Linked DNA regions of Oryctolagus cuniculus. The protein of the gene in region 1 purifies or fractionates together with the protein of each later gene. This does not show direct contact. Links are inferred from orthologs where the notes say so. Each region holds a gene or a part of one and is shown in the gene's direction. Other genes may lie near its edges. The genes, in order: SHC1, RET, GAB2, AP2A2, ABL1, AP2A1 and SOS1.

Region 1 (4,300 bases):
CTTGTCTGGGCATTCCTCCTGGCTCCACTTGTCCTGCCTTCCCTGCTGGAAACATTCCTCAGGCTTTCGCCATTTCCTGCCCCTTCCCGCTCCTCCCGCCTCCTCCCTGCTGGGCTCCCCCCTCCAACACCCAATCACCTGAACTTCCAGTAGGCTCTCACTTCTCCCTATGCAAATTTAGAGACAGACTCCCTCTTTTCTTTGAAATGCTCACACCTGTTGGTCATCCTCTGCCTGCCCATACTGCAGGCTTCCAGAGAGTGCTGACCCTAAGGATGAGGGTGTGTGTGTGTGTGTGTGTGTGTGTGGCTGTGGAAGAAACCTTTCCTTCTCTCGGCCTGGGGTCTTAGGAAATAGAGTGACAGATTCTCCTGCCATGAGGACGAAGAGGAGGTGAGAGCGTATCTAGCACATTTTAAGTGCTAGAATTGGTCATCGTTATAGATTTCTTTTAATCTTCTGACTTAGAGCTAAGGGTAATTCCGAGGTGAGCCTAGGGGAAGAGGTATCTACTTCTTGTGTTTTGGTCATTTTCCAACTTCCTCCAAGGCTTCCTCAAGCAGAGCTGTGGCAGGAAGCCACGGAGGTTTGGAGGTTTGGGACTGTTCTCCGCACATGGTTCACTGCCACATGTTTGCCTGCCTCCTGACCTCCATCGCTTGGTGACTCCTCCCCTGGTGTGAGGGGCACTGCTGGAGGAGGGCTGGGAGGATACCTGGTGGGCCCAGGGACTGCCCTGTCCTCACCCTTGCCAGCGTGCAGAACAGTGCTTGGCCACTGGCCACTGCCTGCTTGGTGTGGTGGGTGCCAGGAGCAGAGGAGGAGGCTTGACCCACACGTCCTCTGGCTGCAGCTCTAGCCTGCTGGCTCCTTGGTGGCCCCCTGGGGTTGGGCTTTTATTTCCCTGACTTCCCAAGTTTTGCCCTTCCTCTGGGTCCCAGTGTGCACCCACTGGGACCACTTCCTTCCTTTTCCCATTTCCCTAGTTCCATTCCACAGCTGCCCTGGAAGAGGATGCTAATGGCCTAAGCTCCCTGGGGCCCTCACCCCACTGGATGTGGCAGTGATGAGGGGTGGCCTGGGCTGGACCATGGAGGAATTTGCGTGTTCCAGCAGGACAGGAAGGGAAATGCTGAGCTCTGGGATCTCCTCCCTTTTCCACCCCCAGCTGCCTCTGTTTCCTCCCTCATTCCCCCTCCCCTCCCCTGACTTCCTGCCCATGTCCGGTTTGGATTGATCCAGACCGTCTCTTATCTCCCTCCTCTCCTTCCTCCTCCATCCTTTCCTCCAAACTCCCACTTCTCCCCCAGATCACTAGTTGTTTGTTTAGGGTAGGGGAGAGGGGCAGGATAGCTCTGCCCCTGCCTGAGTTCTGGGCTGGGGCGGCGGCAGTGGGGGCTCAGCCCCTCTGAGCCTGTGAGTCAGCACTGTCCTCCGGATTGGTCTCTCTCCTTAGCTCCCCGCCCCTGGGGAGGAGCCAGGCAGCTCTGGGTCCAGCCTGTTCTCTTCTCTGCCAGAGAAGAGGCTCCACGCTGGGCGGGGATGGGGCCTGAAACTGTCTGGGTCTGAGCTGGGGGAGCGGAAGCCACTTGCCCCTCTCCCTCCCCAGGACTCCTGCCCCTCCTGGGCCACAGAGGCCCGGCAGGCTCGGGGCCTGGGGATGCCCCCTGCCTGGCCCCCTTGCCCCAGCTGGCAGGGGGGCCGGGCCGGGCAGCAGCCCTGCTCTCGCCCCAGCCATGGATCTCTTGCCCCCCAAGCCCAAGTACAACCCACTTCGGAATGAGTCTCTGTCGTCGCTGGAAGAGGGGGCTTCAGGGTCCACCCCTCCGGAGGAGCTGCCTTCCCCTTCAGCCTCGTCCCTGGGGCCAATCCTGCCCCCTCTGCCCGGGGACGACAGTCCCACCACCCTGTGCTCCTTCTTCCCCCGGATGAGCAACCTGAAGCTGGCCAACCCTGCTGGGGGCCGCCTGGGGCCCAAGGGGGAGCCAGGAAGGGCAGCCGAGGATGGGGAGGGGATCACAGGGGCAGCCATGCCGGACTCAGGCCCCCTGCCCCTCCTCCAGGACATGAACAAGCTGAGTGGAGGCGGCGGGCGCAGGACTCGGGTGGAAGGGGGCCAGCTGGGGGGCGAGGAGTGGACCCGCCACGGGAGCTTTGTCAATAAGCCCACGCGGGGCTGGCTGCATCCCAACGACAAAGTCATGGGACCTGGGGTTTCCTACTTGGTTCGGGTGAGTGAACATCCTCCCCTGCACTCCCTCCCATACCCCTGCAGCTCCTCTGCTCGCGGCAGCTTTGTGGGACTCCTCCTGCTCTCCCTCAGCAGCCCCTCTGTCGCCGCGTCCTGCTTCTTAACCTTTCTGCCTGATCTCTGACCTCTTCCAGCTCTGCCAGGGCCCTCCTCCTTCTTTTGCCTACCCACCCCCACCCTGCCATGCTTCGCACAATGCCCAGCACCTCGGAGGCGAGTGTGGGCATGAGGACTCCTGGACTCCCCCCGGTGGACCCCTCCCGCTTCTGGAGGTGTCACCCATCCCACCCAGTGCCCAGCACTGCCCTCCAGTCTCCCCCAGTGCATGAGGCGCTCCCAGCTTGTCCTCTCTCTCTCTCTCTCCTCACTCCCCGTTGTCTTGTACATTGTGGGATGTAGCTGCGGGCAGTGAGCGAGCTGCCTCAGCTTTCCTTCCCTTAGGGACTATGGAGGGAAAAGTCCTAGGGCCCTAGCGCTGGGGTGGGGGGAGGTGGCTGAACTGCTGTCCCCCTCCCCTCAGTACATGGGCTGTGTGGAGGTCCTGCAGTCAATGCGTGCCCTCGACTTCAACACCCGGACGCAGGTCACCAGGTTAGTGGGGGGGAGGGGGAGGGCTTGTGGGAGTCCTGGGGTTAGTAAGGCTGTGGGAATGGGGAGTGGGGCCCTTGGTGCAGGTGGCCTACCTGTGGGTGGGCAGGTGGGTTGAGAGAAAGTTGGGACAGTGAGTCCAAGTGTGACTGAAAAGAGACACCTCTGGGCTGGATCCTTGTTACCTCTCCGGCCTTTAGAGTTGTGGGGCTAGGGCAGAAAGTGGGGTTAGACCGGTGGTGGCTGCTGCCTTTGGGAAGGGAATGGGAGGTTTGGTGGCTGGAAGGGGGTGGGGCCGTACCCATTGAGGCCCTAACCCAATCAGCCAGGAAGCGGCCTCTCAGTGTCATCAAATATTAAAGGCCCTTAATTCAATCCACCACGACAAAGAGCCTGGAGTGCCCTGGGAGTCTGGCCTGGCCCTCCCCTCCCCCAGCCCTGTGGCAGCCCCAGCCGAGTGGGAGGCAGCCTGTGGGTCTGAGCACCCCTCTTTCCCCAGGGAGGCCATCAGTCTGGTGTGTGAGGCTGTGCCGGGTGCTAAGGGAGCCACACGGAGGAGAAAGGTACCTGGGGTGGCTGGGGCTGGGATGGTGCTGGGTGATGTGGAGGGGCAAGGGGAAGGCAGAAGTGTTTCCTGGTGTCGGGAACCCTCGGCTTCTGAGACTCTGGGCCTTTTCTAGCCCTGTGGCCGCCCGCTCAGCTCTATCCTGGGGAGGAGTAACCTGAAATTTGCTGGAATGCCAATCACTCTCACCGTCTCCACCAGCAGCCTCAACCTCATGGCCGCAGACTGTAAACAGGTTGGTGGGGTTAGGTAGGGGGTACCAGAGACATGGGAGGTAGGGCTAGGGGCAGATGTAGTTGTGAGGCCAAAAACTAAGGTGGAGGGCTTTGGAGTAGCCAGAAGGTAGGAAGAAGTTAGGGTGAGAAGCTAAGAGAATGAGGCTGGGACGGCAGGGTTCTGGGCCAGGGGTGGGGGCTGACACATGCCATTCTTTTCCTTTTCCATCCCCCGTGCCAATTCTCAGATCATTGCCAACCACCACATGCAGTCTATCTCATTTGCGTCCGGCGGAGATCCGGTGAGTTGGGGAACAGAGCACAGGTTGGGGGGGGGGAGGGGAAGGGGCTAAGGATTGGGAAGCCATCAGCCAGGGCAGTGGGGGAGGTAGGGTTGCAGAGGTATTTGAAAAAGACTGGGTTTAGGCATCAGGAGTAAGGTGGAGCTGTAGAATTTAGCTAACCTGCCCCTTCTCACTCTGTCTGTCTTAGGACACAGCCGAGTATGTTGCCTACGTTGCCAAAGACCCCGTGAATCAGAGAGGTGAGGCATGGTGGGGCGCACTGGGTGGGGCGGGATGGCGGTGCGGCAGGTGAGGGGGACCAGGGCCGCCCTTCCCCTCTCACCGAGCAGAGATGAGGAGGGGCTTCTGCTGAGGAGGATCAGTCCCCCACACCCCC
Region 2 (4,060 bases), on another chromosome or scaffold:
TCTGTCTTCCAGGACTACCTAGACCTGGCCGCGTCCACGCCGTCCGACTCGCTGCTTTATGAGGATGGTCTCTCGGAAGAAGAGACACCCCTGGTGGACTGTAATAATGCTCCCCTCCCTCGCGCCCTTCCTTCCACATGGATTGAAAACAAACTCTATGGTAGAATTTCACATGCCTTTACTAGATTCTAGCAGCACTGTCGCCCTCTGCCCTCCCTCTGCTGTCTGTAACGCTTTCCTAAGAGTGTTTCTGATCTCAACGAAACCAAAGCCCGCTCTCAACCCTTTTCATTTGTAAGTGTCTTGACTCTGCACCCAGTTTACACTTGGGCATTTTTGCAACTCTGTTTTTCCAAAAGGATGTGAAAATAAGCCTCATTGCCATGAGGAGAGAAAGGTGGGAGAGAGGGAGGGAGAGAGATGGGGCCAGAGCACTCAGGGGAGGTTGAGAAAAACCACAGGAATGTCCCATATGGGGTGGGAAGCAGGCAGTGGCCCTGCTGATGCAGGAGGGAGCAGCCAGTGTCCCCAGCCTGCACTGGGGGGCCCCAGGGGCACCTGTGGGACCAGCAGGCAGCCCCACTGCCACCCCCAGCCGCAGGAGGCAGTGGGAGGGCGCCCCCGCACGGCTGTTTTCACATCCTTTGCCTTCCCCACGTCTTTGACTGTTGTCACTCATGAAGCCAGTGCTAAGAGCTGGTCTGTGGTGCCGTGGTGTTGCGATGGACAGTAAATACCGGTTCTTGCCAAAACTCCTGCTTTCGTCTTCGATGAAGTCCTTGCCATTTCTCCTGTTTCCTAACTCCCCTCCTGGTCCGTTTTGAGATCTCGGCGTCGCGAGCCATGTCTCAAGAGTGTTCCTCCCGCATAGCCTCCTGACTCACTGCCTGAGTGCCCACAACCCTGCAGGGTTGGCCTGCATGCGCCCTCAGTGGGGAAGGTCCTCTCCTCCGGTGTCGGCCTGGACGAGCGGCGAGTAGGCTCCTTTGAGTCAGAGAACATTCTAGAGAGCGTTCCCACTGCCCTAAGCTGTTGAGAAAAAAAATATATATATGTATATATATATACATTATACAGTTCCAATCCGCATCTGATTTGAGATGGAAGCTCCTGAAAGTCAAAATCACGTGCTACTTGGGAACCCGGAGCAATGGTCCCGGGACCCGCGAGTTCGGTTTGAGCCCCTAAGGGAGTTTTGCCAAGGCCTTGCTGTCTACACGTGAAACGCGGGGTCTTCGGTGCAGAGCGAATGATGTGTTTTCATTTTTAGGCATGTCAGACCCGAGCTGGCCCGGAGAGAGTCCTGTACCACTCACGAGAACTGATGGCACTAACCCTGGGTTCCCAAGATATGCAAATGATAGTGTATATGCTAACTGGATGGTTTCACCCTCAGCGGCAAAACTAACGGACTCCTTTGATAGTTAACATTCCTTTGGGAAAGGTAACGGACTCGCCAGGGGGAAGAAACAGGCCAAGCGTGGGAAGCCACCAGCACCGGCTCCTTTGGTGCACATCACACTGGCCAAGCCAAGTTCAGTTGCCAAGGTGGCAGACTCGTTCCCGGTAGTTGGTGGTCACTGGTCCCCCCAAGCGGTTTTGACCCCAGTAAGCCGGTGACTTTTCCCCCGCACCAGACCACGTCCCCCCACTGGGACGAGGGTCCCGAGACTCCGTGGCTGAGCAGTCCCTTCTCAGCGCCCTGTCGGTGTGTGACCCTCTGTGACTGCCGTGTGCTCTGTGTCCCCCTCGTGGGTCTGCCACTACCTTGTATAAGTGATTGTACCTGAACTGTCTGCTTTTTATGGTTGCCGCCAAACAGAGCAACAAGGATTAAACATGAAGCACACAAGCACACATGCACACACATACACACCTGTACACACGAGGCAGGAGGGACGCAGTGGGGCCAGAGTGACCCGTCCCTGTTCAGGCTGAGAGCCCGGTATGGGGCTGGGTGGTGGTGTCACAGTCTTCCTCCTGCCAGGGCTGGAGGGGATGTGGGGGTCTCAGGATGGGGTGGGGGGCTGGGGCCGCGGTTCAGCATTTGAGGTCCCGAGAAGGTTCTGTTTTTGTTTTGTTGTTGAAACCATGTAACCTTCTCTTAGAAAGACGTTTAGTCATTATATCTCAATACCAATGGTTCTTAGATTTAGCACAATGGAGAGAGAGTCGCTTGCTATGTCGGTAGCAGCGGCCTTGGGGGAAGAGGGCTCGCAGGTAGCAGCGGCGTGGGGGAAGAGGGCTCGCAAGACCCGTCTACCCGTCCTGGGCCCGCTGCACCACCCTCGCGTGTTCAGTCCCGAGTGACCAGAACCGGATGAAGAAAAGGGAGTGTCTGGAGTTGCAGTGGTCTCCAGTCCCAGGACCACTGACAGCACAGGCCTCTGCTGTCCCCACCCACCACTGGCCTGCCCCTGCACCAAGAAAGCAACTGCAGCTCGGATTGCGTGCTGGGAGCTGGTGGGGCCCCTGTTCACTCGGCTTGGTGCGGTAGCCACTTAGCCCCAAAGGGACAGATCTGGCTGTGTTCCAAGTAGCCCTGGCAGTGGCCCGGGCCGGGCCCCTCCCTCTGGGCACATTCTGGAATGAAGAGACCGCGTTTGGCTCTTGTAGAGCTCCCGCCACAAGCTCACGGGTCGGCTCTCCCTGTGTTTCTCATTTGATGCTGCTATAAGCAGGGCGTGGTCTGTTGCTTAGATTTGTGACCGTGCCGCCTACGGAAGCTTCTTCACTGTGGCCACATGCATTCGCTGCCTTGTGGGGGAGGGGCTGTGTGGCTCTTGGGAAGTCCCAGCAGCTCTTGCGGCCGGCTGAGCCTTGTCACTGCAGGAAAGGGGTGGTTACTAAGACACGGCCTGATCCTCAGACTTCAAGCGCTGTGATAGGACTCCTGAGAGTCTTGTTGAAAATACTGTACTTCGTGGGTGTTTCACAAAGGCAGTGCAATCTGGCGTTTGGGGGTGGCCAAGAGAGCTTGGGCGGGGACGCGAGAGAGCCTTAGGGTTACGTGTGTGCACACACAGGAAGACAACTGGCAAAGTGTGTACTGGACCTGTAGCCCGGCTTTAGTTTGAGCCACTTTTCAGATACACTGTGATACATTCTTTTGCAAATACCTAGAAGTCTAGAAGTCGTGGTGAACTTGATGTTCAGATGTGCTTAAAGAGAGTCTTACCAAATGCAGACGTAAAGAGGCACTCTCCCTTTCCAGTGCCTTGTAGCTGTGGCAGGTTTATTCTCAGCGGGATGAGAAGTCTGGGTCTTCCCGGCTGACCCAGTGTTGGGGAACAAACCCCTGACTAATAGTCCAGTTGTCTGCTCCTGAGTTATAGAAGTGTGCATCCTAACAGTCCCAGCAGACAAAATTCTGACCACGTAGATGCAGACTTGACTAAGTATCCAGTATTACTGAGTGTTAAGTAGTAACCAGTTACTGAAATTTGTAAAACCCATTATGCAAAGGTATTCAATCATACCCTGTTCACTTGGTTTTTTTTGTAATCAAGGTGACTAAGAAAACAATTTCAGTTGTGTAAATAAAATTATGTAACACAAAATGTGTCAGCTTTCTTTTCTCTGGAACTTCCTCCTTGCAAACTTCAGATTTCTGATGCTTCAGTGTTCCGTTGCAAGAATTAAAATGTTGCCAGAAACTCCTGATAGCTACTGGGGCCATCCACCGGTGGCCCAAGGGCTAGGGCTTCCTGCTGTCACTGGTTCGTCCCACATGACATGCACACATGCATGGGAATAGGCTGTCAGTTCAGCCAGCTCCACTGTTCAAGGAATTCCTTCCTTCAGCTTCTCTGCCGGGAATAAAACAGCAAACATCAGGTTTAGTAGTTTGCTCCCTGCTGATGGTCTTAAAAGGTTTTTTTTTTTTGTGAAATTATTTATTCGAGAGAAAGAAGAGAAAGAGTGAGAGAGAGTTCCCTTTCACTAGTTCTATCCCCAAATACCCGTAACAGCCCGGGTTGGCTTAGCTAATATGGGGAGCTGGGAAATCAATCCAGGTTTCCCTGTTTAATGGCAAAGCACTCTTTTTTTTTTTTTTTTT
Region 3 (4,200 bases), on another chromosome or scaffold:
ATGTGAGTGAAGTCAGAAGGACTGCTTTATTTTGGTTGGGAGTGACGGTTTGGCTGACCATTTTGATATTTATGTCTCACAAAGCCAGAAGTTTAAAATGGCCATAATTCTAGTGGTAGCCCTCGCATACGGTTCAAGAATCCCTGAGTTGGAACAGTTGGAACGTAGCCTGATCATTCTGGCTTTGTATTTTATATAACAGCACACCGGATATTGAAGACAGTGAAGTGGTGGGCCCAGGGGTGCTGATCGCGAAACCTTCCAGGATGTCTAGAAGAGCTGAGCACATAGCAGGGGGCTAACATTTGCAAACTGAAAGGGGTGAACTTGCTCCAGCCCAACCAGTATCTGTTGATTCAGATGATGTCCAGCTGCTTGAAACAACAAACTGAAATGCATGGAGATGGAGAAATGAGCAAAATAGCCTAGTCTAGGTAGCAAGGGAGCGGCACCCTGCTTCTCACACTGATAAAATGGTGACTGTCCCCTTCTCAGAGAAGTTAGGGAAAGACTTACCTTTCAATGCTCCTTATAAAGGAACTGAGTTAAAAAAAAAAAAATAAAAGCTCCTACACAGCTCCTCCCACCCCCCTTGAAATATTGAGTTCCCTGTGTGCTTCCATACACTATTTACCTCCGTTAAATCACAATGAGAGGCTATCATTATATCCCAGTTTACACAGAAGTCTCAAGGTCTACCTCAATGAGTTGGAACTCTGGGAATGTTGACACCATTTCTTTCTTTCTTTCTTTTTTTGACAGGCAGAGTTAGACAGTGAGAGAGATACAGAGAGAAAGGTCTTCCTTCCGTTGGTTCACGCCCCACATGGCCGCCACGGCCGGCGCTGCGCCGATCCGAAGCCAGGAGCCAGGGGAGCCAGGAGCCTCTTCCTGGTCTCCCATGCCGGTGCAGGAGCACAAGCACTTGGGCCATCCTCCACTGCCCTCCCGGGCCACAGCAGAGAGCCGGACTGAAGAGGAGCAACCGGGACTAGAACCCGGTGCCCATATGGGATGCTGGCGCCGCAGGCGGAGGATTAACAAAGTGAGCCACGGATCCGGCCCCGACACCATTTCTTGTTCTGCCCCACCTTGCCTTCCAATTCACCATGAAATACACGGACCGATGCTTGATTCCCTGATGCTACAAACCATCCGGGTTTTCTTCTACTGAATTCCATTTTCCCAGAGGCAATGTGGGAGGGCACCAGCTGGACTTGGTTTCCTATCAGTAAGAGGCCCCCAAGTGGATCCGCAGACATTAAAGCAATTCACCCATCTGAAACAGCGGAGGAGCGGGACCGACCCCTCCTCCCCGCCAACACCTGAATTAGAAACCCGGCTACGCCCGGAGCTCGCTTTGGGCCCTGAGGCGAACGGTGAAACGGTCCTAATACCGCCCGCCCAGTTTGTAGATGCAGAGACAATCATGTAAATGATGAATGCAAAAGCTCCCCTGCACTTAGTAGGTCTGGTTTCGGGCTTTCCTGCTCCCGCCACGGGTGTGCGCGAGTCCCTGAAACGCCTGCAGAAAAGCAGGTCACTCCTTTCAACTGGAACCTGACCCTCTGCAACCCGAAACTCTGGGAATGGATCGGGAAGGCGAGCGGCCCGCAGATCCCCTCTCTCTCCACACTCCACGCAAAATCAATCTGCGATGGCGGGCAATCACCGCCTCCCACCACACCCCCGCCCCCCGGGGCGCGGCCGCCTCCCCCGCCCGCTGCCCGAGGCTTGGGGGAAAAAAGCAAGACTCCAGGGGGCGCGGCCCCACGGCTTTCCGCGCGCTCGCGGACCTCCGGCCTCCCGAGCCCGGAGCTGCCGGGCGTCCTCAGCGTCCGGCGAGGCCGCCCTACTGGGGGCGCGGCGGGCAGTGGGCGTGGCCAACGCTCCGGCCTTCCTGCTGGGGCGCCCCGCCGCGGCCGGGAGTGCGCGAGTGCGCGCGCGGGGCTTCGGGCGCGCGCCGCAGGCGGGCCGCGCCGCCTTGTCCTCACGCTCGCCCGTGGCCGCGGGCCGCCAGCCCCTCCCCTCCCTGAGCTGCGCACCGCCGGCCGGCTGACCCAGCAGCCCGCGCCCGCGCCCTTGTCGCCGCGTCCCGGCGGCGGGCTCCAGGCGGCCGGCAGCATGAGCGGCGGCGGAGGCGACGTGGTGTGCACCGGCTGGCTGAGGAAATCGCCCCCCGAGAAGAAGTTGAGGCGCTATGTGAGTGCGGGCGGGCGGCTAGCGGGCGCGGCACCTTCGGGGCGCCCCGGGCCTGCGAGGGGCTGAGGGCTCCGGAGGGGCGGCGCCGACGGGGAGGGCGGGTCCCCGCGTCCTCTGGGGGGCGAGGAGCGGCGGGCGCGCCCCGCGGCTCGCCGGCGCGTGGGGCACCTGCACACCTGTCACAGGTGCGCCGCGGAGGGGCGGGGCGGGCCGTGCCAGCGGGGTGAGGCTGCGGCTCGTCGGCTCGGCGGGCGCGTCGGCCGCGCCTCCCCAGCCAGCCTCGGTGTGAACTAAATCCGGTGTGGAAGTTTGTATTGATTGTTTTCGGAGACCGTGAGAGTTGATTCCCGCGCCCGGGGCACCCTCGCAAGCCCGGAGCGGCTTCAGCCCGCGGCGAGGGGGCGCGGGCCCCACAAAGAACCGGGCGCCTCGAGCCCTCTCCCCTGCCCTTTCTCTGCCGGCCCCTCCCGGTGGCCGCGGCTTCCTCTCCGTCCCCGGGCGCCGCATCACGGGCGGCGTCAGCGGCATGTGCAGCTCGTGTGTTAAGTGACTCATTTGTTTGTCCCCTCTTTCCCTTTATTCTGTGTATCTCTCGCCTTCCCCTCCGTCCCCCCCTCCCCGCCCCCATGGTGACACTGCAGTTTGGTCCGCTAATAACTGGCCCCGGTTGGCTGAGGTGCCGCCCTTGGGCGTCTGGGGTCGGGGAGATCAGGGTTTCGGTTGCCAGGTGGTGCTAACCGGCGTTGTTTACTGAGACCGCGGGGCAGCCACTCCCCTCCAGGGAAGAAGCCGGCAGCACCGGGCCAGGTGGAACAGTCGGGAGCTGAGACGTGAGGAGTTTGGGTTTTTCTCCCCCTAGCCAGAGGGTGCCTTGTGTGGTGAGGTCAAAGTACAAGATGGTGCCAGGTCCTGAGATTCGGCTGCAATCAGCCTCAGGGTAGTCACAAGGAGTTTGGAAAACGGAAGGAAGGCTGCCAAAGAACGGTGTCAAGGTCTCCCATCTTCCCCCTGCTCGCATCCCAGGCTGTGTCCTTGTTGCACCGATGTGCGTGCTGGGCTCAGGGCTCACTCCCACAGCCTGGAAGGGCGCCTCGCCTTCCAGCTGCAGTGCATCAAGGGAGCTCTGAACAGACCCTGCCCTCTGTCAGCTGCACCCGTGGCGGGGGGCGGGGGGCAGGAGCTTACCAGAGTTTCCTGTCTTGGCTCCCCAGTTCTGAACCAAGGGACTGCTGGCCTCTGGACTGAGGAAGTGACATTCTGTTTTTCAAAGGAAGTGTTGTTGTTGGGGAGTGCAAATGTGTGTGTCAATGAAATCAAGCTCTTAGATCATTCGTTGGGGAAAAAAAAAATCTAAGGATTTAGCACATGACATTTGAAAGTGGACACAGATTTAACATAGTGGGGATGAGGCAGCGAAATGTGTCTCACCATTTTATAAAGCTCATTTTGGGGTGTCAGTGTGAAGCAAAGTATTATAATCACTAAGAGAAACTTTTTTCCTTCTTAGGGTTTTATCAGTTTACTCAGAAAATTGAGTTTTAATTAGGGTTAAGGAACAAGTCCTTTGCTATTAACATTTATGTAAATATTTTAAAAAATACCTTGTCCTACAGAGCTTTCAGATATACCATACCAACTAGTGGAATAGCATCCTGTCCCCCCCCCCCCAAAAAAAAGAGGAAAGAAATGTGACTCTTCAAATTAGAACACTACCCTAAGGAACCTTGAAACTTTGTTTTTAAAACCATTTGCAAACAAGCAAGTTGACATTGTATCTACATTTGATTGATGACTACTTTGGTGCTATCACTCAGACTGCCTTTATGACCCATTTCATGGGTATTTGTGTTCACAAACAACAGTTAGCTCAAAATAACCGTCTAAACCACTTGACTCGCCCTAGATGGCGGGTCTCAGCCTGTCTATCACCTGTCTTCTATGCCGCTGCAGGCTCCTGACCAGACTCACAGCAGCTTTCCTTAGGCTAGAATGTGATGT
Region 4 (3,500 bases), on another chromosome or scaffold:
TGTGGAGTCTCTGGCCTGCTGTGGTCGGGGGGAGGTGACGCCCCTCCTTTCCCATGGCTTGTCCTGAATTTTTGACATGGAGGATAGTCTAGGGTAGGTTGTCTGCTGTAATTAATAAATGTATTTAAGGGCCGGCGCCGCGGCTCACTAGGCTAATCCTCCGCCTAGCAGCGCCGGCACACCGGGTTCTAGTCCCGGTCGGGGCGCCGGATTCTGTCCCAGTTGCCCCTCTTCCAGGCCAGCTCTCTGCTGTGGCCAGGGAGTGCAGTGGAGGATGGCCCAGGTGCTTGGGCCCTGCACCCCATGGGAGACCAGGAAAAGCACCTGGCTCCTGGCTCCTGCCATCGGATCAGCGCGGTGCGCCGGCCGCAGCGCGCCAGCCGCGGCGGCCATTGGAGGGTGAACGAACGGCAAAGGAAGACCTTTCTCTCTGTCTCTCTCTTTCACTGTCCACTCTGCCTGTCAAAAAAATAAATAAATAAATAAATAAATAAATGTATTTAAAAGGTGTGGCAGGGCCAGCCCCGTGGCGTAGTGGGTGAAGCTGCCACCTGCAGTGCCAGCATCCCACATGGGCACCTGTTCAAGTCCTGGCTGCTCCAGTTCAATCCAGCTCCCTGCTATGGCCTAGGAAAGCAGTGGAAGACGGTCCAGGTGCTTGGGCCCCTGTACCCATGTGGGAGACCCAGAAAAAGCTCCTGGCTCTGATCGGCCCAGCTCCGGCCATTGCGACCATTTGGGGAGTGAACCAGTGGATGGAAGACCTCTGTCCCCCTGCCTCTCCCTCTGACTCTGACTTTCGAAATAAATCCAAAAACTTTAAAAAAATAAAAAAAGATGTTGTTTGTGGCAGGCGTGTGGTGCGGTGGGCCCAGCCTCCCATATCCGAGTGTCTTTTTGAGTCTCGGCTGCTCCGCTTCCAATCCAGTTCCCTGCGAACGTTCCTGGGAAAGCAGCAGAGGACGGCCCAAGTGCTTGGGTCCCTGCACCCATCGGGGAGACCTGGATGGAGTCTTGGGCTCCTGGCATTGGCCTGGCCCAGCCCCAGCTGTTACGGCAATTTGGGGAGTGAGCCAGCAGCTGGAAGATCTCTGTTTTCCCCCCTCTCTGCCTTCAAAAAAATACACGAACGAGTACATCTTTTTTTTTTTTTTTTTTTTGACAGGCAGAGTGGACAGTGAGAGTGAGAGACAGAGAGAAAGGTCTTCCTTTGCCGTTCGTTCACCCTCCAATGGCCGCCGCGGCCAGCGCGCTGTGGCTGGCGCACCGCGCTGATCCGATGGCAGGAGCCAGGAGCCAGGTGCTTTTCCTGGTCTCCCATGGGGTGCAGGGCCCAAGCACCTGGGCCATCCTCCACTGCACTCCCTGGCCACAGCAGAGAGCTGGCCTGGAAGAGGGGCAACCGGGACAGAATCCGGCGCCCCGACCGGGACTAGAACCCGGTGTGCCGGCGCCGCTAGGTGGAGGATTAGCCTAGTGAGCCGCGGCGCCGGCCCGAACGAGTACATCTTTAAAAAAGAAAAGATGTTGGTTCACGGCAGGATTTGCAAATTCCTTGGCTGCAGGTGGGATTGTGGAAGGTGTGAGGGAGGCCGGGCCGGCTCGGCGGACTGCCTTGGCCCAGGGTTGTCTGGGAGGCAGAACCCGCCGTGCCAAGTGCTCTGGTTCTAAGAAGGAAGCCCCAGGTTTGTGCTCGGACGCAGCGCTGGTTGGAAGTCGTGTGGAGGGGAGCCCCCTGTCTGCAGCCGTGTGGACGGGCCCTCGGCCTGCGCTGATCTGTTCTCTTCTGCAGGTGACAAGGCTCTCGACGGCTACAGTAAGAAAAAGTACGTCTGCAAGCTGCTCTTCATCTTCCTCCTTGGTCACGACATTGACTTTGGACACATGGAGGCCGTGAACCTGCTCAGCTCAAACAGATACACGGAGAAGCAGATCGTGAGTGCCTCGCGGGGCCGCGGGGGGCAGCCCCCACGAGTGTGGACTGGCACGGCGTGGAGCCACCTCTCGTGGGTGCCTCATGTGTCCACCCTTCCGTGGTCACAGGCAGTTTGTTTCTGAAACAGGTGCCAGGTTAGGTTGCCCCCGGCCCCAGCCCGCGCCCCAGCCCGTGCCCAGCCCGCTCACGTTTCCGGAGCTTTCTCAGGGCTGCAGTCTTGGCCGGCCGTGTTCTCTTGTAGTCCTGTTACTTCCGTGTCTTCCACGTGATGAAGTCACGTGTTCGTATTTGTGAAGAACTTGAACTCACAGCGGTTACAGCACACTCCGTGCCTCAGGGTGTGCAGTCCAGTCGGCCCTGCGTCCACGGGTACGGGGCTGGAGACCCTGGGAAAGCAGTCGCGCCTGTGGCAAGCAGCGCAGGGTCCCTTTGCCGTCACCGCCCGGCGGCGCGGCGTGCAGGTCTGTGTGCAGCGCTTGCACTGTGCTGGCTGTGCAGGTGCCCGGCCGTGCTACAGAGGGCCGTGCCCCTCAGGGGAGTCCTGGAGCGAGTCCCTGTGGTGCTCAGGACTGGTGGCGTTGCTGTCTGTCCCGCAGTGCACCAAGAGGCCTGCGCTGGAGACCCTTAGTAACTGAAGGCCGATGGGGTCGCGCCCTTGTGCAGTGGGGCAGCGGCATTGATGTAGAGTTGCAGCGTGAGGGGGGACCCGAGGGAGGAGGGCGGGCCTGCTGGACCGTGGCCCGGCGATGGCGTTGCCTGGATCAGGTGGGAAGCGCGCAGTGGACACAGCAGACACATCTGACAGGCTGCACGTGGAGGAGACCACGTGGCAGAGCTGGCAGTGACCCGGGCTGCGTTCTGGGCAGCTGGATGCGAGGGGTGGCAGTGACCGTGCAGGTGGGGTGACTCTGGGGACACAGGTTCAGAGGGACAGACGGAGTAGGCAGCGTTTCTGGGAATCCCAGTTTGTCACTGGGTGATGTGGGTTTGGGCTGAGCAGTGTGGGGGGGGTCTGGTCTCTGAGGACATCAAAGCCAACTTGTCCCAGAGCAGTGCTGTCCTGTTGCGGGCCTTGGACTCCTCCTCATCCTCCTCTTCTTTCTCCTCCCTCCTCCTCCCTCCTCCTTCCCCTCCCCCTCCTCCCCCCTCGTCCTCTCCCCTCCCCCCATCCTCCTCCTCCTCCTCGTCCTCTCCCCTCCCCCCCATCCTCGTCCTCCCCCCCTCAGTGTGGCGATGCTCCCAGCTGCATGGAGCTCCCAGCTGCGTGGAGGGCACAGCTGTGCGGAGGGCGCGGCTGTGTGGAGTGTGGAGGGTGCGGCTGTGTGGAGTGCGCGGCTGCGTGGAGCTCCCGGCTGTGTGGAGTGCGCGACTGTGTGGAGGGCACGGCTGTGCGGAGTGTGTGGAGTGCGCGACTGTGTGGAGGGCACGGCTGTGCGGAGTGTGTGGAGGGCGCGGCTGTGTGGAGTGTGGAGGGCGCGGCTGCGTGGAGCGCACGGCTCGCTCCGGTGGTCACGAGCCTCTGTCCTCGTGTCCTCTGGAAACACAGGGCTACCTCTTCATCTCC
Region 5 (4,066 bases), on another chromosome or scaffold:
AGGTACAAGCCCTTAAAGACATCATTCTGTGGTGTTACACGGGGGGTTATAAAGCAGAGTGCATCTCCAGGGAGAGAGGTACGGCCAGGGCGTGGGGCTCTCCTGTCACTGGGAATGGAGACCAGGACAAGTCTTCAGGTCAGGTGCAGCCCACAGTGACTTCCGGGAGCCTCAGTCACCGTCTCCGTGGAAACCCACGCCAGGTCTCGTTTGGACCTCAGGATGACCTCGTAAGGGAAGCAGCCCCGAGCCCCACGAGCAGGTGAAGGAGCCAGGTGGGTCCCCTGGGAAGGTGTCGGCGGGCAGGGGGGAGCAGCTGGCAAAGGTGCCGGGTCCGAGATGAGACTCCCAGCGTCCAGACGGCCCCTGCCCCTCGCAACACGCGCTCTGAGCGCGAGGGCAGCGTGTCCACCGCGGCACCCAGCACCGCCGGACGCCTGCTGGGTGCGTCTGTTGGAGTTCTGATTCGATTACCCGGATTTTAGCCAAACTGGAGGACGAAGACGTGGAGGAAGTGAGTGAAGCGTGCATGGGCTCACAGGAAAAGCAAACGCCACCCCCCGCCCCCCCACTAAAGAAAAGTGAGGGCGCTGAGCAGGGTCAATGGTGGGAGGGACCGATGCCGCCGGTCAGGGCCGCCCGCCCGCGCGAAGCCCAAGCGATTAGCCCCGAAGACCCTCAGGGCCCCACCTGCTGCGCGTCCAGGGACCCCAGGGGCCCTCTCCTCGCGAAGCCGGTGCCGGTTCCCAGCCCAGCGGAAGCCCCTGCGAGACCCCTGGCGCCCCCGCGGCGGGGGCAGCGTCCCGAGGCCTGGGGCGCACGGCAGAGAGGAGGAAACCCCAGCCCGCTTCCGCGTCCGCACTCGGGGAGCCGGCCCCGGGGCGCAAGGCGACGGCGCACTCGACGGAGGCCGGCCCCGGGCCCGGGGCGAGCGCTGCTCCTGCCCGGGCGCCGCCCCTGCGGCCCTGTCTTCTCCAGCGCCGGGGTCTGCAAGGGCGCAGGGGCGGAGCGCACCGAATCCCCCGGTTTCCAGGAAGGAATCCGACTCCGGTTCTCGGAGAATCCGATCCACAGCTTGGCCCCTGCTTTGGCGCCCCGCCGGCCAGCCCGACGCGAGGCCGGCGAGAGCACCGGCTCCGGAGAGCTACGGCCAGAAGCGCTTCAGCCGGGAGCAGCGCGCAGGACGCCTCGGCGCCGCGGGACTACAACTCCCGGCACGCCCCGCGGGCTGCGCCGACTTCCATTGGCCGAAGCCTCCAGCATGCCAGCCCGCGTCGACCAATGGGATGGAGGAGAGAGGCCTGGCCAGGATCCTCGGAGGCCAATCGCAGTACAGGGGAGGCGGGCGCTTCCTTACCACTCACCTTGCACTCGGAAAAGTCGCCTTTAAAAGGTCGTCCCGGGCCGGGCTCCTGCGAGGCACTGAGGCCAGAGCCAGAAGGTGCGACGGGGTCCCAGGAAAGCGGCGCCGGGGGCATCCCAGTCCACGCGAGGCGGGCTCCGGACGGCGCCGGGGGGCGGGGCCGGGGGCGGGGCCTGGCCTCGTTGTGGAGCGGCTCGTAATCCATCATGGCGGCCGCGGGGGTCGGCCACTGTCCCTGAGCAGCGCCGAAGTCGGAGCCGGTTCCTGGGTGCTGCGGTTGAGGAGCCCCTTCGTGGCCCACGGCCCCTACCGGCGGGGGGCAGGCGGGGTCCCTCGGCGGAGTTCGGGGGATGTGACTGCTTGGCGGCGGCGGCAGCGTCCGGGGCCGCGGGACGGGGGTGTCTCGGGCAGAGACCCCCGGGCTCGGGGCAGCTGAGGCGGCCAGGCCTCCTCTCTCGTCGGCCCGTCTCCCGCCTTCGGGCCGCGCGAGTCTTTCGTCTCTGCAGCCCCGCCGCGGCTCTGGGACGCCCCCCCCCCGGGGTGGTCTCTGTTCGCTCCGGACGTGGGACGCCCCCGTTTCCTGAGGCGTGGAGAAGCGTCGCCCCCCGAGTAAGCCGCCCGTGCCCCGCCCCGGAGTCGCCCCCCGCTCCCGCTGCCGGCCCCAAGGCTGGCCGCCGGAGACCCCCATTCAGACCCGCTGCGTGCTGTCAGGTGGCCTCCCATGGCCCGCCAGGTTGCCCCCGCCAGCCTCTGATGCCCTGACTTCTTCCAATGTCACCTACGGCCCCCTTGGTCTCAGCCCAGCCAGAAACTTCCATGCAAAGGAAGAGCCTGGATTGGTTTCACAGGCCTTTTAAAAAGCGGACTTAAAAGTTGCTGGCCATGCATTCCGTGCCGAGCGCGCCGAGATCCGGCTGACCCGCGCGTCCTTTTCCGGAGGGCCGGGGAGAGCGAGGAGCCGGAGCGCAGCCGGCCCGGCCCGGCCCGGCGGGAGCTTTGCTGGGGGACAGGCGCGGGCGAGCACCCCGGGGCCCGCGACGCTGCCGGAAGGACTAAGGGATTGTCGCCCTGCGCCCCACCGCTCCGGGAATAGTTCTGCTTAGGTGCGTCTTCCCAAAAAAGAAAAAGCGTGGTTCACTCAGTGGAGTATCCTTAAAGACGGCGAAACCTTTGGGGAGTGTGGGAATCACCTTACTCCCCAAAGCCCGAGGCTGGGAACAGTCAGCGGGCCCCCCGTGTCCATGCGTGGAGCCCCCGGCAGGTGCCTGCCCGCGACTGCCCGTGCGGGCCGCCGTGGCGTGGCGGGCATGCGCTGAGTGTGGAAGGCCCCGCCGAGGCCACCGACCGTTCCGGAAGCTCCTGGACCCTCTTCTGGAAAGGGGAGCCCCGCGCTAACTTTATGGGGCAGCAGCCTGGAAAAGTTCTTGGGGACCAGAGAAGGCCGAGTCTGCCCGCCCTGCACTTCATCAAAGGAGCCGGCAAGAAGGACTCGGCGCGCCATGGGGGCCCGCACTGCAACGTCTTCGTGGAGCACGGTGAGTGTCGCGGGCGCGTCCCGGCGGCTCCGCGGGTGCCCGTGCCTGCCGCGTCCGCGGGTGCCCGTGCCTGCCGGCTCCGCGGGTGCCCGTGCCTGCCGCGTCCGCTGGGCGCTCGCGGTGGTCCCGGAGCCTCGCGTGGAACCCGCTTAGTCCTGGAAACGGTGTCCTGGTGCCTGCGTGCCCCCTGCACACCGAGCCGTGCGCCGCGTCCCCTTGGTGCTGACCCGGGGCCTCCGTTTCCCGACCAGGTGGCAGTTAGCTGGCTTCTTCGCGGCGGCTCCCCGACTCGCGTGGGTCCTTAGCGAGCCCGCGTCTGTTCTCACGGTTTGGGAACCTCAGGTCTCAGTTGACACGGAACCCCCTGGCCTTTAGGAGGGCAGTGGGGCCCGCAGACGCTCCCCGGCTCTGCGGGAGAAGGCAGCGTTCGGGGGCTGAGCCCGGAACTCCCCGCGGCCGGAGCCCGCGCCCGCTTCTCTCCCGGTGCAGGGGGACGCTGGGCGCTCTGGCGTTCCTGTGGGCGTCTTCTCTTCACCTCCAGTGATTCTGTGGGGGTGAAGCAGGGGTCGCCTGGCCGCCGTCTGAAACAGAGGTCGGACCACTGAATCAGCTTCGTTCGTTCGTGTCCTTTACCTTAACATAGTATCCTGGGTGGGAGGGGGCGCCACCTGTGATGCGGCATCTCCTGTGGGTGCAGCGTCGGTTCCTGGCTGCTCCACTTCTGATCCAGCTCCCTGCTCATGGCCTGGGAAAGCAGCAGAGGACGACCCCCGGGGCCCCTGCCACCCATGTGGGAGACCCGGATGAGGCTCCTGGCTTCAGCCTGGCCCAGTGCTGGCCGTCGCGGCCATCTGGGGAGTGAACCAACAGCTGGAAGCTCCCTCTCTCTGTTACTTTTTCAAAATAAATAAATCTTTAAAAAAAAACACCTTAACTGGGGGGCAGGCGTCATGGCCCAGTGAGTTAAGCGCCCCTTGGGATGCCCACATCTGTATAGGAATGTTGGGGTTTGAGTCCTAGCTGTCTCCAGGTTCCGGGTTTTTGCTGCTGATGGGTGTATCCTGGGAGACGGCAGACGATGGCCCAGGTGCTTGGGCACCTGCCACCCACATGGGAGATCCAGATGCAGTCCCAGCTCCTGGCTTTGGCCTGGCCCAGCCTGGGACTG
Region 6 (4,002 bases), on another chromosome or scaffold:
GTGCACAGCCTGAGCTGGCCATCCTAGAATCCAGCACGGGCTTGCCCCCAAGCCAGGCAGCCCCGGCGGACGGATCCACCTGCTCTTCCCGCTTGCACCCCCGACCCGACCGCCAGCGCCCGAGACGCACCCCGCGGGCTCATTCCCGGAGGCCCCGCTCCCCAGGTCACAGGAGGGCGGCAGGTCCAGGGCTGGAGGAACGGCCCTCCCCGCGCCCTTGGCCCCAAATTTCTCAGCAGCCCGGGGCGCCGGGGGTCTGGCAGCCGACGGGCCCGAGCCCCCCGGGAGGCGGCGTGGGGCGGCAGGGTCGGGCCGCAGCCCCTTGCCCGCTGTCCACCGGGGTCGTCCGGCTCCATCGCGGCTGGCGGGGACAGGGGGCGGAGCATGCGCAGCGAGACGCTAAAATAGGATTAAGTTCGGGTTCCTCCACGTCTGCGTCACTCAGCCTCTCGCCAGGACGGAGTAACAACAGGTCCTGCCCCTCCGGGAGCCCAGGTCTCCCGACGCGTCAGATCCACACGCGGGGGCCGCGCAGCGAGGCAGGGCCCAGCCAGGCTTCCCGGAAGGGGATTAGGGCCCTAGGGCTGCGGGCGGGGCAAAGGCCACACATTGACGCCTGCGCAGTCGACACCTCACGCCGTCTCGCCCCGCCCAGCCCCTGCTCTGCAGCAGGGAATTGCAGGCCTCGCTCCACCTATCCCAGCCCAGCTGAATAACACCCCCTTCTTTTTTTCCTTCTCCACCAATGGTCGCGCTTCGCCCGCCCCCACAACTGTCCAATAGAGAGCGGAAGCAGGACACGCCCCGCGAATGCGCGACGCCTGCGGGGGCGGTCTACCCGCCCATTGGTTCCGGTCAACCCAAGTCCCGCCTTCTCATGCGCTTTCTCCCCCGCCCTCCTTCCGTCCCTCCCTCTCCCCGTGGAGAGGGGCCAGATCCAATCAGCGCTGGACTCGGCCGCGCGAAGGGGGCGGTCCTATAGTGCGTAATGGAACCCCGCCCGTCTCTCGGGCAACGCCCCCTCCCCCTCGCTCCCGAACGGAAATAGCGGTGTACTGGACCAATCGTAGTGGCGTGCCTTTGCCTTGAGACCAATGGAAGAGGGAGTCGGGGGCGAGCCCGCGTCTGAGCGGCAGTCTCCACATCCAATGGGCAGCCGAGAGCTGCCCCGGGCGAAGAGGCGGGGAGGGGTCAGGGGCGGTGCCACGGCCCGCCCGCCCGCCCTCCCCCTCGGCCGGCTCGGCTCCTCGGCGCTGCCTGGGGGTCCTTTCCGCCCGGTGCCCGCCTGCCAGCGCCCGCTGTGCCGTGCCCCGTCCGGCCAGGCCTGGAGCCGACACCACCGCCATCATGCCGGCCGTGTCCAAGGGCGATGGGATGCGGGGGCTCGCCGTATTCATCTCCGACATCCGGAACTGTGAGCTCGCGGCGGGGGGACACGGGAGACGCGGGGGAGGGGGCAGCGTGGAACGCGGGGGTTTGGGGGTCACCGAGGGACCGGGCGGGGTCCAGCGCCCCTGCAGGGGCGGCGGGGGGAACTTCGGGGGGAGGGGGCAGGGGTGTCATGAGGCGCCTCAGGAGGTGACGACGCGGAGGGTTCGAGGCCCCGGGTGGGTCGGGAAGGGGAAGACGTTGGACAGGTCCCGGGGACGGAGGCGTGGAGGTGCCCCCCGGGAGCGGTGGAGAGGCAGGGGCGCCCTTACAGATGCTGGCTCGGAGACCCCTGCGCGGGGGGCCTACGGGAGCCGGGCTGAGGGGGTGTCAGGGACGGAGCGGGACCGGGGAGCGATGGGCGGCGCAGGAGTGCGGGGGCCGCGGAGAGCCGCTGGGGAGGGCCTCGGGCCGGCGGAGGGTGGACAGGGGCCAGAGGGGGCAGGAGGGACTCCCGGATCGGGGGCCCGGGGAGTGGGTGCTTAGGGCCCGTGTCAGAGGGGGGTGCCCAGGCCTCCAGGAGGGGTCAGGGTGCTCAGGGCTTGTGGGAGAGATTGCAAACCTGGGGGCGGGGGCGGGAAGCCTGGTCCTGGAGAGAGAGCGAGGGGTCAGGGGTCAGGGAGCGGCCGGGCCCGGGTCGGAGCCCTTCCCTGTCTGGGGACTGTGATCCCGGCGGCCGGGCAGTTCCCGGGAGCGGCTGCTGGCGCCGTCCGCGGGGGCTTGGGTTCGAGGGCAGCAGCTCCGGGAGCTGAGTGACCTTGGCGGAGGGTGGGGGCAGCCCTCGCGGGGCCCTGGCAGGTGCGGCTGCATCGGGGAGGGCCCGGGGCGCGTCCGGAGCTGAGCAGTGCGTGGCAGGTGCACCGTGAGCACTAGGGAGGCCGTAGGGTGTCAGCGGAGGGAGGGATGGTGTGGTTGATAGAAAGGGGGTGCAGGGGGGTGCGGGCGCTTCGGGGGGCCCTGCGAGGAGGGGGGCCCTCGCCCATCATTTAACCCTCTGGGGCCCGGTGTTCTTGTCTGCAAACTTCGCTCCCTGCTTGGTGCGGGAAGGCAAGGCGGGCAAGGCGGGACGAGGCCCTGCTGGACCGGGCTGGTGCCGAGAAGAAGGATAACGGGGGGGGGGGGGGGGCTGCCGGGTCCTGGGGCGGCCGCCTGCTTGGGCCGTGCTCACGGGAGCGAGCGGCAGGCAGAGTGGCCAGGGCCCTGGTGAGCCCTCAGTCTCCCCTGTTTGAAAATCATTCCCGCGGCTGCTGGGAGAGAAACCGGCGCTGGAGGCGAGGCCGATGCCCCGCAGGGCCGAGAGGGGACTGGTCGGGTTTGGGGTTCGTTTTGAGGGCTTGGGGGGCTGGGGAAGGAATGACAAGAAGGTGTCCCACAGGCCCCGGGAGGTGGGGCCCCAGCACCAGGCGCGGGGGAGCCCGTCAGGGAGGGCCCTGTCCCTTCTCAGCCGGTGGTGTGCTGCGCCGCTGTGTTCTGGGGTTCGTGATGGTGCAGGGGACCCCGAGGCTCCCAGCCCCACGGGGGAGGAGGCGTGGAGGCTGGACGTGGTGGGCCACCCCGGGAAGAGGCTGAGTACCGGCCACTGGGCCCTGAGGACTCTGTCACTTGGTTCCGTGGAGGTGGCCCGCAGGACAGGGCAGTGGCCGCCCCGGCTTGCGGGCTCCTCGGGGGTGACAGCGTCCTGGGATTGGGCAGGGGGCTGCCTGCCCAGCTCTGAGTGTCCGGAGGCCATGGGACTGTGCGCTTTCAAAGGGTGCGTCTCGCGGCCTGTGAATTGGAGCTCACTTTTCTCCCTGGAGAGTGGAAGGCATTTGCCGCTGTCCTGAGGCCAGTGAGGGCCGTGACGTTGAGAGAACGGGGGCTGTGTCTGGCCAGAGAGCCCAGGGAGGCTCTGCTTCGCCGGAGCCGCTGGGAGCCGCGCGGGCAGGATGTGGGGAGCGAGCCAGGCCACGTGTAGTGGAGACACGTGGGGACGGCAGAAGGCTGGCAGGTGCCAAGGTCCTGAGGCCGGCCCGGGCCTCTGAGCAAGGCCTGCGTGTCTGACGCTGGCCAGGTGGGCAGGGCCAGGCTGGTGTTTGTCCTGAGAGCTCGGGGTGGGGGTGGGGGGGTGATTCCAGGCAAGAGCGGATCATGGGGAGAGGGGTGGACGAGGCAGGGCTCAGAGCTGGGGGGGGGGGGTGTCTGGAAGGCATCTAGAAAGAGGAAGAGGAAGGGAGAGGAAGGGCCAGTTCTGCCCATGCAGAGGGGGAGAGGCCTGGCCCGAGGGCCTGGAGCGGGATCCTGCCGAGTCAGTTATCTGACAGGGAGCTGCTCTGGGCCCGGCCCCGCTGCCTGCTATCTGGGGCCCCAGCGGTGGGCCAGGCTGCTGAGGGGGGCGCTGGCTGGGTCCCCAGTTCTGTGCCGGCTGCGGGAGGCCTCAGGATAAGTTTGTTCCCTGACTGAATGCGTGGATGAAGGGAGGGGTCTTCAGTGGGCACCTGCTGAGTGCTGAGCACTGTTGTGGGTGACGGGGCCCCTGCCCTGTGGAGCACCTGTCCCACGGGCCAGCACACAGCAAGTGTGCCAGGCGTCCACCCG
Region 7 (4,272 bases), on another chromosome or scaffold:
GTGCTTCCTCCTGGTCCTGGTCTCCCATGAGGGTGCCGGGCCCAAGCACTTGGGCCATCCTCCACTGCCTTCCTGGGCCACAGCAGAGAGCTGGACTGGAAGAGGAGCAACCGGGACAGAACCGGCGCCCCAACCGGGACTAGAACCCGGTGTACCCGCGCTGCAGGCGGAGGATTAGCCTAGTGAGCCGCGGCGCTGGCCTGAAATGTATTCTAAGAGCAACGAAGAGCCAAGGAATAGTTGGCAGCAGACCACCAGTGTAGGCTCACTCCTTTAGAACCACACAAAGCCTTTTCACCTATATCAGCCCTGTAGGTAGTGGAAGGGGTCTAACACGTTCTCCACTGAGACGCCCCCAACTCGACTCCAAACAATGTAGGTTCTCCTCTTCCAGAGGACTGACTGACGGGTTTCAAAATGTCACTGAACACTTCTGAAAGTGTAAATCAGGCATGCCCATTTTTAAAAGGAAAAAGCCCAAGACTTGATTCAGATTCTCAGAGAAGTTCTGTAAAGATTAAGATGCACCGCTTAAACATTTCTCAGCTTTGGGATCCTGGCTATTGTTCCATGGACCAGCAGGACACAAATGCCAGCTCAACCCAGGCTAGTCCTCTGCACTGTCTTCTCTGTGAAATGAAAACATGATTGCTGTGAGGGCTCAGGGAGCGATACTTTAGTGTTTAATGAAAACCACGAGGTGTCTACCCAACAGTGGTATTGGAAACCAACATCTGCAGCCCTGGAACCGAGGGACAAATTTATACACTGCACCTTTAGCATTCCACAAGCATTCCCTGGAGAAAAAGATCTGCCTTGCAGGCGTTCACGATCTAACCAAAATGCCGGGGAAGATAGAAAACGCAAAACAGACCAAGTGAGGTTCTCTGGAACCTGGGAACCGCGTATGATGTCCCACTTTCCAGGGCAGGGAAGCACTGACTGGAGTTGGTTGTCTGATGTGGGTTTGCGCAGGCTGAACCTGAACACCCATTCTACCCTTGCTGTGGAAAGGCCGGCTGGAAACATCGCAGTCGCTTCTGCCACCTGACAAATACTGAGCAGAGGGAAACCTATCTTTGTGCAGTCTGTTTACTATACGTTGCACGCTCCGAGCAGCCCTTATCCTCATGGTCGGGAACAAAGTACACACACAGACCCAGACACACACACACACCCCTTTCCGAAACCAAGGCCCGGGGACTCCAAGAGAGGGGTGGGATCCCTCGCGGCGCGGCCACACAATGGGGGCCGTCTCAGCACAGCTCGCCTCCCACCCCCACCCGCAGGCCCCATTCGGCCAGGGTTCGACTTCTCGGGCCCCACCGCCCCTCCCCTGCAGCCCCCGGGAGCGCAGCCACAGCCGGGCCCGGCGCCCTCCCTCGCCCTCCCTCCTTCACCGGGAGCCGGAAAACCCGGAGGGAACCGGCCCAGCCCGGCGGCGCATGCTCAGTAGCGCGCAGGTTCAGTTCGCTAGTAGGAAGCTCCAGCGCTGCACCGGCGGCGGCGGCGGCGGCGGCGGCCGCGGTGCAACCCGGCGGCCGGAACCCCAGCGGCGACTTCGGGCCCTTCCTCGCCCCCGAGCTCCCTCCCGCTCTAAGACTCTAGCGTGTCGAAGTCCTCGCTGGGCGAGCGGGCGCCGCGGCAGGAGCGCCCCTCCACACGCCCTCCCCCTGCCGCCAGCTCCTCGGCCGGGCAGGCCGGGCCCGGAGCGGAGCGTAGCCCCGGCAGCGGGCGGGCGGGCGGCGGCCGCGGCGGAGGGCAGCTCGGGGCGGCGCCGGCGGGCCGGGGAGGGGCGGGGGGCCTGGCCCCAGGGCGGTGGTGCGGCCGGGATGCCGCCGCCGCCGCCGCCACCTCCGGGCCGTGTTCGCTCTCCGCGGCTGGTGCCGGTGTCGGGCGGGTGGCCGCGCGCGGGCCTCGTCCCGCAGCCGCCTCTCCGGGGCTAGCCCGGCCGTGCGGCGCCCCGAGGGGGCCGGGCCGTCCGGAGGGGCCGCGGCCCTGTTCCGCGCTGCGAGCTCGCCCTCTCGCGGCTTCCCGGCCGGGCCGTCGCCGCCGCCCCTCTCCCCGCCCAGAGGCGCCCCGGGGGCACCATGCAGGCGCAGCAGCTGCCGTACGAGTTTTTCAGCGAGGAGAACGCGCCCAAGTGGCGGGGGCTGCTGGTGCCTGCGCTGAAGAAGGTGAGGAGCGCGGGGAACCCCGCTGCCCGGCCGCAGCCCCCGAGGCGGGCGCCGGGTCGGAGCCCGGCCGGGGAGGCGGGGCGCGCGCGGGCAGGGCCGCCTTTCTTCCCGGTCCCTCCGCAGCCGGCGGGCGCTCGGCGGGGACGTGCCCCGGTGTGTGGGAAGGCAGGCCGCGGGGAGAGGGTCGGAGACAGCAGTCGGGGGAGCCCCGGGGTTCAGCGGAGGTCAGCGCAGGCCACCCCTCCTCCTGGCCGGTCTCTTTGCCGAGCTGCTGTCAGCCTCCCGGTTGAAGTGTCCGGGACGCTCCTTTCACTGGCCCGATAACGCTCTGGCCATCATGTTTGCTGCGAGCTTGCCTGCCGGCGGCAGCATGGCCTGCTTTGCTCCCTCTGCGTTCTCCTGGGCACCCCCTCCGATTAACGAGGAGCTGCTACACATGCCAGTATTTTCAGACTTATTATTTTTTGACGGTTGAAAATCTTGGTGATGTCATTTGGGTTAGAATTTTTAACCTCTGTTTTGTATGTTTACGTTGGCCACATTGTTATCTAAAGTTATATAGGAAATGTTGCTACATTTTGTTTGTAAAGCAACGTTGTGACAAACACTGCACGTTAAAAACATCAGAAACTGGTGTGTGAGTTTAAAAACAACTGGACTGTTTTCGTTTCCTTTTCTTCATTTCTTCCTTTTCTGGTGGGGTGGCTTTATGCTTTCAACTGTGTGTCTAAATCCCAGTTTCTTGTTGCCCAAAGAATGTTTCATGAGATCTGGTTAAAATACAGCTTTGCTCCTCCTGAGGGCTGGGGTTATGGTTAGTCTTTCATGGTAAACATTTCCACTTGAACACAGTGTCTTAAAAGGTGTCTGAGTTTATCCAAGGCCAGAAGCTTTTACTTTCTTTTTTTGCCCTGGTCTCCCCCTCCCCCTTTTGCAGTCTTACAGTGGAACCTACTTAGTTAGCAAAATCTGCTCATATATTAAGGATTGAACTACCAACTTTTCCCCCTCAAATGTTTGGCTAGTCATTAACATCTCTTTGGTGTTTTCTAATAAAGTGTGTTTTGTGTGTGTGTGTGTGTGTGTGTTATCGGTATACTTCATTCATTAGAACTCCTACCAGGTTCTCCATCTGTTTAGTTGTGCTTTGCCTGCAAGTGTGTCTTCTTGTGATAGAAGGGGAGTAGGAGGTCACAGTGGTGCTAGAAGCTGGTGTTCCATCAGGGTAGAGGAAAATAAAACAGTTGTCTGAAAACATACCCAAAAAGCCTCATGAAGCATTACTCACTTGGGGTCATTTTGCTTAGAAGCTTACAGGTCCCATCCCAGGGGAACCACCGGTCTGTGGGTTGAGGATCCTTGGAAGTAGTGCAAAGAATGGCATTAGAATTGGCAGACTCACTGTCTGCCACGTGGGGGGCCCTGCTGGGATCTGTCCTCAGAAGAGTTTTGTTTGGCTGGCACAGTGTTGTTTATTGTTAAGTGTTTACACATGGGAGATATTACACAAAATCTGAATTCACAGCTTTTGTTGAAGAAAAATCTCTCCACTCAGGTCCCACGTGAAAAGCCAGCCAGTGACCTGCTGCGGGTGCATGGATAGCTGCCGTCTTTAGACAGGTGCACATTGGCGTTTACAAAGTCCTCAGCAGTCCCCTTTGCTTGTTTACATAAAACAATGCTTAGGTGTTTATTGACTTGAAAGTTTGGGCAGTGGAGAGAGAGGGAGAGTGAGAGAGAACACCTTGCTCTCCTCTGCTGGCTAACTTTCCCAGTGCTCATAATGGCGAGGACTGAAGCTGGGAGTTGGGAGCTCCAGGTTTCCCATGTGGGTGACAGGAACCCGATTACTTGAGCCGTCACAACTGCCTCTTGGAGTCCATATTAGCAAAAGCTGGAATCAGAAGCCAGGGCCTGATATTGAACCCAAACTCTGGCTTAGCAGCTAGGCCAAACGCCCACCTCTACACAAAGGGGCTTTTGACTCTAACAGAGTTGCCCTTGGAATAGAAATGATGGGAGGAGGTAGAAGTGTACAGTCTGACTGATAAATGTATCTTCCAATTCTTATCCAACTGTCTACCAGCAGGGAGTC

Evidence for each region.
Region 2: the proteins of SHC1 (region 1) and RET purify together in Homo sapiens (affinity purification with western blotting; 4 studies listed by BioGRID and IntAct, with this or other methods). This does not show direct contact. The link is inferred for Oryctolagus cuniculus from reciprocal best matches to the Homo sapiens genes SHC1 and RET.
Region 3: the proteins of SHC1 (region 1) and GAB2 purify together in Homo sapiens (affinity purification with western blotting; 6 studies listed by BioGRID and IntAct, with this or other methods). This does not show direct contact. The link is inferred for Oryctolagus cuniculus from reciprocal best matches to the Homo sapiens genes SHC1 and GAB2.
Region 4: the proteins of SHC1 (region 1) and AP2A2 purify together in Homo sapiens (affinity purification with mass spectrometry; 4 studies listed by BioGRID and IntAct, with this or other methods). This does not show direct contact. The link is inferred for Oryctolagus cuniculus from reciprocal best matches to the Homo sapiens genes SHC1 and AP2A2.
Region 5: the proteins of SHC1 (region 1) and ABL1 purify together in Homo sapiens (affinity purification with western blotting; 5 studies listed by BioGRID, with this or other methods). This does not show direct contact. The link is inferred for Oryctolagus cuniculus from reciprocal best matches to the Homo sapiens genes SHC1 and ABL1.
Region 6: the proteins of SHC1 (region 1) and AP2A1 purify together in Homo sapiens (affinity purification with mass spectrometry; 4 studies listed by BioGRID and IntAct, counting the BioPlex papers as one, with this or other methods). This does not show direct contact. The link is inferred for Oryctolagus cuniculus from reciprocal best matches to the Homo sapiens genes SHC1 and AP2A1.
Region 7: the proteins of SHC1 (region 1) and SOS1 purify together in Homo sapiens (affinity purification with western blotting; 14 studies listed by BioGRID and IntAct, with this or other methods). This does not show direct contact. The link is inferred for Oryctolagus cuniculus from reciprocal best matches to the Homo sapiens genes SHC1 and SOS1.

The regions. Positions count from the first base shown.
Region 1 is NC_091438.1:43,538,890-43,543,189, forward strand, and holds the start of SHC1 (SHC-transforming protein 1), read left to right. Parts: upstream 1-1,500; 5' UTR 1,501-1,736; coding exon 1,737-2,231; intron 2,232-2,771; coding exon 2,772-2,842; intron 2,843-3,338; coding exon 3,339-3,402; intron 3,403-3,519; coding exon 3,520-3,639; intron 3,640-3,867; coding exon 3,868-3,921; intron 3,922-4,111; coding exon 4,112-4,163; intron 4,164-4,300. UniProt on the Homo sapiens protein: Signaling adapter that couples activated growth factor receptors to signaling pathways. Participates in a signaling cascade initiated by activated KIT and KITLG/SCF.
Region 2 is NC_091446.1:85,322,927-85,326,986, reverse strand, and holds the end of RET (proto-oncogene tyrosine-protein kinase receptor Ret), read left to right. Parts: intron 1-12; coding exon 13-160; intron 161-1,270; coding exon 1,271-1,428; 3' UTR 1,429-3,560; downstream 3,561-4,060. UniProt on the Homo sapiens protein: Receptor tyrosine-protein kinase involved in numerous cellular mechanisms including cell proliferation, neuronal navigation, cell migration, and cell differentiation in response to glia cell line-derived growth family factors (GDNF, NRTN, ARTN, PSPN and GDF15).
Region 3 is NC_091432.1:69,487,453-69,491,652, reverse strand, and holds the start of GAB2 (GRB2-associated-binding protein 2), read left to right. Parts: upstream 1-1,400; 5' UTR 1,401-2,124; coding exon 2,125-2,202; intron 2,203-4,200. UniProt on the Homo sapiens protein: Adapter protein which acts downstream of several membrane receptors including cytokine, antigen, hormone, cell matrix and growth factor receptors to regulate multiple signaling pathways.
Region 4 is NC_091432.1:452,252-455,751, forward strand, and holds part of AP2A2 (AP-2 complex subunit alpha-2), read left to right. Parts: intron 1-1,792; coding exon 1,793-1,935; intron 1,936-3,482; coding exon 3,483-3,500. UniProt on the Homo sapiens protein: Component of the adaptor protein complex 2 (AP-2). Adaptor protein complexes function in protein transport via transport vesicles in different membrane traffic pathways.
Region 5 is NC_091432.1:233,356,130-233,360,195, forward strand, and holds the start of ABL1 (tyrosine-protein kinase ABL1), read left to right. Parts: upstream 1-1,266; 5' UTR 1,267-1,281; coding exon 1,282-1,441; intron 1,442-2,134; coding exon of another isoform or gene 2,135-2,233; intron 2,234-2,379; exon of another isoform or gene 2,380-2,762; coding exon of another isoform or gene 2,763-2,898; intron 2,899-4,066. Other genes in the region: uncharacterized protein, read left to right, coding at 2,135-2,233. UniProt on the Homo sapiens protein: Non-receptor tyrosine-protein kinase that plays a role in many key processes linked to cell growth and survival such as cytoskeleton remodeling in response to extracellular stimuli, cell motility and adhesion, receptor endocytosis, autophagy, DNA damage response and apoptosis.
Region 6 is NC_091449.1:7,772,822-7,776,823, reverse strand, and holds the start of AP2A1 (AP-2 complex subunit alpha-1), read left to right. Parts: upstream 1-1,202; 5' UTR 1,203-1,347; coding exon 1,348-1,414; intron 1,415-4,002.
Region 7 is NC_091433.1:163,753,097-163,757,368, forward strand, and holds the start of SOS1 (son of sevenless homolog 1), read left to right. Parts: upstream 1-1,472; 5' UTR 1,473-2,090; coding exon 2,091-2,177; intron 2,178-4,272.